Callithrix jacchus: one gene and its partner. The protein of the gene in region 1 interacts with the protein of each later gene in a biochemical or structural test. Links are inferred from orthologs where the notes say so. Each region holds a gene or a part of one and is shown in the gene's direction. Other genes may lie near its edges.

What was found.
Region 2: of the proteins of GSK3B (region 1) and NIN, one has a biochemical effect on the other in vitro, tested with the Homo sapiens proteins (2 studies listed by BioGRID and IntAct). The link is inferred for Callithrix jacchus from reciprocal best matches to the Homo sapiens genes GSK3B and NIN.

The regions. Positions count from the first base shown.
Region 1 is NC_133516.1:82,767,055-82,771,467, forward strand, and holds the start of GSK3B (glycogen synthase kinase-3 beta), read left to right. Parts: upstream 1-1,518; 5' UTR 1,519-2,555; coding exon 2,556-2,643; intron 2,644-4,413. UniProt on the Homo sapiens protein: Constitutively active protein kinase that acts as a negative regulator in the hormonal control of glucose homeostasis, Wnt signaling and regulation of transcription factors and microtubules, by phosphorylating and inactivating glycogen synthase (GYS1 or GYS2), EIF2B, CTNNB1/beta-catenin, APC, AXIN1, DPYSL2/CRMP2, JUN, NFATC1/NFATC, MAPT/TAU and MACF1.
Region 2 is NC_133509.1:85,314,285-85,317,928, reverse strand, and holds part of NIN (ninein), read left to right. Parts: intron 1-870; coding exon 871-984; coding exon of another isoform or gene 985-1,065; exon of another isoform or gene 1,066-1,108; intron 1,109-3,536; coding exon 3,537-3,644. UniProt on the Homo sapiens protein: Centrosomal protein required in the positioning and anchorage of the microtubule minus-end in epithelial cells. May also act as a centrosome maturation factor.

The DNA.
Region 1 (4,413 bases):
TCTTTGCTATCTTGACGTAGCCATACCTCACTGTTCTCAAGCAGACCAAAGGAACTGGTTCTCTGGAAGAACAATGGACACTGGTCTTCTGTATGACATCTACTCAAGCTGTATTTTATAGATCGCCCTAGCTTCAAAAGATCCAAAGCTACCAGGAGTTGATCTGGCCCCCCATTTCCTCGGAGGCTTCAGAATATCCGGCCTGACCGTATTTCCCTTCACCTGCTTTCGGGGCCCGTTTTGCGCTGGGCAATTGCGCCCCAGGAGCGCGCGCATCCAGCATGAGCTCATTTCTCAGGGGCGTTTCCAGAGCCCCGGCCCAGCAGCATACACCAAGAGCAGCGAGCCTCTCTATCAGTGGCCCCCGCGGCTGGGCGGGGCGCGACCGCCCAAAGGCGCTGCCTTTCTGGAAGCTATGCTCCCACTTTAGCGTCTGAGAGTTTGAAGCAGGCCGGGAAAGGCCCTTTGGTCCGTCTGCCCCTTTCGGGGAAGAGGCCGACACCCGGCACGCGCGACCCGGGCAGAGGGGAGCCTTGGGTGCGCCGAATTGGCCCCGCCCGGCCGAGAGCCTCCTGTGGGTGAGGAAAGCCCCTCGACCCCTCTGCTCGCTGAGCGCTCAGACCCCAGCACTGCCGACCATAGTACTTTCCGACTTGCTAGGCAGGGGACCCGCGGTCTCCACCGTTGCTGGAGGCGGCAGTTGCCTAGCCGTCAGGCCGTCAGCCACTACCCCAGTCGGGCTTCTCCCCGCTCCCTGGGACCAAGGCCGAAGGCCAATCACACTGCAGCTAGGTCTTGCGATTGAACGGCAGTGAGAGCCGATTGGCCACCGTTGCGGGTTTCGGGTTCCCTCCCTCTCCCTTTTGCCCCAACTCCAGCGCCTAAGCTTCAGGCCAATGAGACGGCGCTTTATAGGCGCCCTCCCTTCGCTTTCTTCTCCCCACCTTGGAGAAGGAGGAGAAGTCCTGACTGGCTAGACTGTCCTCGGAAGCCCCCTTTCCTTCACCAATCACCAAGGGCGGTACGCTCCCAGTGGAGTTTTCCAACCAATTACAAAGCGGTGGCGGCGCCCAGCCGTGCAGTTTCACCAGCGTCTCCGGGTTTCACCGTCCTCAACTCTTCAAGCGTTTTCATGAGGCCGGCGATTCTGATTGGCCCCAGTTGCCATTGTCGAATGTCTCCTCTAGCCAGCCCTTTCCGTACGGCTACCTTCGGCATTTTCCGCTCTTTGGGCGTGGTTTCCCATCGACATTTTCTAATTGGTTTCTCAGGCCGATCGGCTTCATCCGGGAGGAGTCGCAAACAAACGACGTCCGCGATTGGCTCTTTTCGGGCTTCGGCTCCAAGCCGAAGCGGGCGAGCGCGGGGCTCGGCCGGCGATTCCCAGACGCCTGTTACGCGGGCGGCTGGACGCTGGGCGGTGTAAGGCTGGGTGGGGGAGGAAGGAGGTGGAGGACGAGTAGGAGGGGGGAGGAGGGAGTGGGGAAGTGCAAGGCGGCTGCGCAGACAGCGCTCCTCACACAGAGCAGCCCCCGACCCGGGCGAATGCGGGCTTGTACCGCCGCCGCCGCCGCTGCCGCCGCCGCTGCCCGGGCCGAGTGACAAAGGAAGGAAGGAAGGAAGCAAGGAGGAGCCGGCCCCGCAGCCGCTGACAGGGCTCTGGGCTGGGGGCAAAGCGCGGACACTTCCTGAGCGGGCACCGAGCAGAGGCGAGGGGCGGGGGGGGCGGGAGGGCGGCCGCGCTGGTGCCGCGGACGGGGGAGGGGGCCCCGAGAGACGGAAGCGGTTGCCGGGTTCCCATGTCCCTTGCGTATGGGGAGCAGTCGAGGAGCCGCTGCCTGGGGTCTGAAGGGAGCTGCCTCCGCCACCGCCACCGCCGCCGCCATGGCCGCTGGATCCAGCCGCCGCCTGCAGCTGCTCCTGGCGCAATGAGGAGAGGAGCCGCCGCCACCGCCACCGCCCGTCTCTGACTGACTCGCGACTCCACCGCCCTTCAGTTCGCCGGGCCCCCGCCGTCAGCCCGCCGGATCCCGCGGCTGCCGGAGCTGCAGCGTTTCCCGTCGCCTCTCCGAGCCACCCCCTCCCTCTCCCTCCCTCCTTCCCATCCCCCTTTCTCTTCAAGCGTGAGACTCGTGATCCTTCCGCCGCTTCCCTTCTTCATTGACTCGGAAAAAAATCCCCGAGGAAAATATAATATTTGAAGTACTCATTTTCAATCAAGTATTTGCCCCCGTTTCATGTGATATATATTTTTTTAGGATTTCCCCCCTTTTTTCTCCTCCCAAGAAAAGAAGGGGAAAGAATTGTATTTTTTTCCCCAGCCCTAAATCATCTATATGTTAAATATCCGTGCAGACCTATCTTGAAGGAAAAATACATCGCTCTTTTTTTTTATAGTATACAAAAGGAGTGGAAAGCCGAAAGGACGAGTCTGTTTCTTTTTCTTCTGTGGGAGGACTTAATGCTGCATTTATTATTAACCTAACACCCCAACATAAAGACAAAAGGAAGAAAAGGAGGAAGGAAGGAAAAGGTGATTCGCGAAGAGAGCGATCATGTCAGGGCGGCCCAGAACCACCTCCTTTGCGGAGAGCTGCAAGCCGGTGCAGCAGCCTTCAGCTTTTGGCAGCATGAAAGTTAGCAGTGAGTATTGATTTTATTTTACACTCCTTTTCCGCCTCGCCCTTAGAAACCTCGGAATACCAGAATCTGAAAATAATAGACCTCTTCATAAAACAGTCAAACAGGTAATGCAAAAGAGCAAAACCTGTCTTCAGTCAAGAATGAAGCAGCTCCCTCTCTTCTTCTCCCATACCCCCTCCCTCGGTCTCATTAACCTTGAATTGAGAGAATATGATTTTTATTTGGACGATTCGATTTGAAACTGCTTTCTTTTCGTATACTTTCTTGCTGTTGGTAGTTAGTTTCATCAAGTGCTTGAGTGTTTCCACGTTATATTAGTGATGACAGTGTTTACTTGCTCATCCTTTAGAATAAAGAGGACAAGATTTGATTCATAAACCATTATGTACGTTTGCAGAACGTATGCCTTTTGGAATGAGTGAGGGTATTTTAGGTCTCAGGGGTTATCATAGTTTGGTATACTTTATTGAAACGTGAAATGTCCCACTCTCCCAACATTTTTTTCTTGTCTGTATGACTATACATAATATTCTTAATCTGTGGATGAACTTCCTCAGTAACCATTCACATTTGGAGACTGGCATTGATTTCTCCCTTTAGAAGGGACCAGTGGGAGCCAATAAATACCCAGCAGCAGTAGCATCTCTGTATGCATTGTCTTCAATTTGGATAAGTGGTTTGATGTGTTATCTCTTAAACTCCTGTTTTGACATTATCAACCTGCCACTGTATAATTATTTAATCAAAAGGTAACTTGGAAATATTAATAGGTCCAAGTTTTGTTTGTTTTGTCATCGTGCCAAATACTAAGTTAAATGTTGTCACTGGCTCATTATCATTTAAGTTAAATTTTGGAGTGCTGTTGCATTCATTACCTGTTAAATGTTCTGTAGTACAGGGGGGTTCCTTAAAAAGGACATTTAAAATACTCTTGCGTTAGTTACCACCTCATTTAGGTAACACTGGATTTAGTTAGAAGAATGTGGATTTAGTCCTTTCCATTTTGGCTTTTGCAGATGGCTGTGGTCCTAGAAATAATAGGGATATTTGGGCTGCGTTCAAGGTTGTGGATACATTGTACTCTCGTCCTGGGTTTGGGCTGAAAAGTATGCTCTTGAAGTGTTTAGTATATACCAAGTATCTAATGTTCCAGTGTATCTCTGTTTGTGGAGCTGTTCATGTGGTATTTAATGATAGCTTGTTTAAACATACTTCCAGAATTTAACAAAAATATCTATATTGTTTCCTTATTGTGGAAAAGAGGGGCATGATAAGGGCAAAGACAAGTTATTTTGTATCCTAGAAGAACTAAAGAACTGAGATTTTAAGAACCCCCCCCCCCAAATGTATGTTATGTGAAATTGATTATATCTTTAGGCAACATAAAATGATCACTTTTAGTTGAACTCAGCGTTTCAATTCATGTTGGCTTTGGGAACTAGCCTGAAACAGGATAGTCTAGGTAATAGCTGAATTGGAGATTATTTTTGAAAGTTAAATTTTTTTTTTTAGGTGTCTTGCAAATGAATGCTGGGGTAGGTAAAGAGGAAAGCTGATTATGCATATTTCAGGGAAGGGTCCTGCTTTCTAAGTACTTCATGGGGTCATTTGAAAAATATTTTTAAATTCCAGGGTAATTTTCAGCTATAATGGTACAAGTCTTCTAATAGCTACTTTCGAGCCTCTTGTGGTACTGGAATGTTTGTTTGTTTTACATCTAGATAATATAGTTTGAAAACCAATCAATTTCAGGTAATTGATTTATTAGCT
Region 2 (3,644 bases), on another chromosome or scaffold:
CAGATGGTTGTCTTTGACTTACATTTGGTCATTCTGCATGTCTTTTAAAGTATGTCTTAACTACCATCACCTGTTAACACCTTTTTGAAATCTGAAATTCCTCATGGGGGCATTTTGGTGGACTGCAGAGGGATGGCGGGTGGGAGGCGGCTGCATTCTGATCTCTCTAGGTATTGCTGCTCTCCAAAACCCACTTACTCCTTAACCTATCACCATTGTGTGAGAAGAGAAGAGGAGATTTTTAATTTTCAGTCTGCTTTGGTAATAAACCATCCTCCAATCCAGATGTGTGCTTCACATTTACAAGTGGGAAACAGATGACTAGAAAAATTGGCAGGAAGAGGCTGCTTATTATGAAGAAAGAAACACTAACACCCTCACAGTTATCAGCTGCTTCAGAGGAAAAACAGACATGCCTATTGCAAGCTGATTGGAACTGTTAGGAAACCCTGAATACAGTCAGTGCTTGTTTTGTTGTTGAGAGGCCCACAACACTGCAAAGACCCAAATCACAGATGAGAGGTGATAACTATCTATCTTTTAACTTACCTTGGATGTCCATTTTACTAGAAGTACACACAGGTATTAAATTATGGGTTTTAAAGAATTTTGGTTTATATCGGGGGACGATGGTAACACAGGTAAGATTCTTTTTTTAAAAATCTGATTCTTTGTGTGATAGGGTTACTTTTCTTACATGTGCAATCCATGCAGGGCTCAAAAGTCCCATTTCATCAGAAATCCATCCTTCCTGTTACAAAGGCAAAACATTTGCTGTCCTCTCTAGGCATCTTGTGGGGAAAATAAACCAGTGTTTTCTTTTCAGTGTGACATGACTTTCAAATGATAATGCACTTTTCTTCCCTTCAGGGAAACCAGGAACAACTGGTAACCATCATGGAGGAACGAATGATAGAAGTTGAACAGAAACTGAAACTAGTGAAAAGCCTTCTTCAAGAGAAAGTGAATCAGCTCAAAGAACAAGTGAGCCTCCCCGGTCATCTCTGTTCACCCACCTCACATTCCAGCTTTAACTCCAGTTTTACATCCCTCTATTGCTATTAACTTGTTAACTTACATTGTCTAATAAAGGCAAATTCTATTCTAAGTGTCTACAAGAACTTAGGATTTGCTCTCCCTCATACCACCCCAAAAATATGAACTCTTTTTTTTTCCAGAGCTCTGTTTAAGGCTGGTTTGTTCACAATTTAAAATTGTAACTCTTTGCTAATATTCACATGGACCTAAGATTTTTAAAATTAAAAAAAAAACTGTTGATTCATATGGACCTAAAGCATGTGAATGGATATGTTTTTTTAGGTCCATGTGAATCAATAGATTTTCTTCTGCCCAAGACTGGAAATATTCCTATTTAAATTGGAAAAAATGACATAGGTTTGAGGGGCTGAAGCCTGAAAAAGAAAAAAAGAAAAATGACATAGGTTTAAAAGAAAGGGGGCTGGGGGATAAATAGAACTTTAGCTTTCCTGTTCCCAAAAGCTTCTGAAAAACCTCAAAAAAGTATCTTACTGTTACAGCCAGACTCCAAAAAGATGTACTTTGAATTAGAGGAGCACTAATCAGTCTGCTCCTTTTCATCCGCTGGTGGCAGATGTGTCCTTGGTGTTTAGCAGTTAGTTGCACATCCCCTGAAGAGACATGCAGAAAGTACTACCCTCTGGGAGAGTGTTGTGGCCTCTCTGGAAACTGAGACTGAGACAAACAGGTGGGGGGGGGGCAGAAATTGCCCACCTAGTTCTTTAGATACTTAAGACCTAAGAATAATCCTCCCAAGAGAGGGTCTGAATTCATTTGTAGACAGGAACTTTCTGTTGGCCTGTATCTTAATACACAGAGAAGAAAAAGTCCTGCTGAGTGAGCATTTATGCATTCAGTTCTTTACGTATTCAAGCATTCAATACACAGTTGCCGTGGGCCAGGTCCTGCTGTACACACATGGGTATAGCAGTGAACAAAGTCCCTGCCCAGCTTGGCCAAATGGTAGGTTCAGAAATAAATAGGATCCATCTGTTTTCAGTAGACGGGAACACAAGAGAAGAGATATTTGATCCAACCCAGAAGTTTAAAGAAAGTTTCCTGAAGGCCTCTTAAGCTGCATCTTGAGGGTTGAGTAAGATTTCACCAGTTAAGAAGGGCATTCTAGGCTGTGGGAACATCGTGGAGTTATGGCAACATGTGGGGCGTGGACGTATAATCACGTCCACATTGACAGTTCACATTGTCCTGGGAGAGGCAGGAGGGGAGACTAGAGAGGAAGGAGGAACAGGACAGCTGGCCTCCAATGCTGAGCCAAGGAGCTTCAGTTTTATTCTGTCAGTGATGAAGAGCCATCAGAGTCATTTTGGTTTTGTTTTGTTTTTTATTTTTGGAAAGGAAAAGGGAGGAAGAGAGGAAGGAAAAAAAAGTTGTATTCAGGAAGTTCAACAGAGAACAGGCTCTGAAATATTAGTGAGAGCTGCCAGTTGTCTAGGTTCTGGGTGCTGTCATCCTTATCCTTGCCCTTTGAAATGCTAATAAGTTGTTAAGCCACTCTTTTAGTTGCTTTTTATTCTCATAAACCTTTACAGTTTTAGATGCTCTACTTGAAATTGGGTATAAAATGAACAGTTAAAAGGTGTAACATGGGAAGGGAGACTGGAAAATATTAACCAGAATGACGGTGAAAGTATCCCAAGGCACTGCTAACAAGTTTTCCCACCTCAACCTAGACTGTATATTCTTTTTTTTTTTTTTTTAAACGGAGATCTTGTTGCCCAGGCTGGAGTGCAATGGGGCAATCTCGGCTCACCGCAATCTCATCCTCCCAGGTTCAAGCCATCTCCTGCCTCAGCCTCCCAAGTGGCTGGGATTACAGGCGCACACAACCACATCCAGCTAATTTTTTGTATTTTTAGTAGAGATGGAGTTTCTGCCGACCTGAGGTGATCTGCCCCCCTTGGCCTCCCAGAGTGCTGGGATTACAGGCCTGAGCCACTGTGCCTGGCCTAGACTATTTATTGTAACTATAAATAGACTAGACAAGGCCCCATGCAAAAAAAGTTCAGGAAAAGTAACTGCCCAAATCTTCTCTCTGTTATAATATATGAGCTAAATTTTAAAATAATCAGTGGGTTGTAGTTAAGAATGGGGGAGGTTCAAGCATCTTTGGTTACAAGCAGAGTTAAACAGTCCACACCTGACCTCAGGAATTTAAGTTATCAAAGTATTTCATATTTTTAAAGAATAAATAAAGGAATAATGCCTATTTAGGTAGAAGAAAACTTCTGGAGCTCTCTGATATCAATCTGTTCTTTTTATTGGTAACTTACATAAACATGCAAAGAAATAGCTTGGAAAAAGTGGATTTGCTCCAGTGGCATCCCTGATGCCAAGTCTGATGATAAATCTATATTGTAAAATAAAAGAATATCATTAGAAGAAGTGATTTGCCTTTTAAAATAACTGTCCTTATGTCAGAACTTCAACTAAGAAGAGATACAGAAATAGAGTCAAGATGTTTCTGCTTCTGTTTCTAGCTCTGCAAGAACACTAAGGCAGACGCGATGGTGAAGGATTTGTATGTTGAAAATGCCCAGTTGTTGAAAGCTCTGGAAATGACTGAACAGCGACAGAAAACAGCCGAG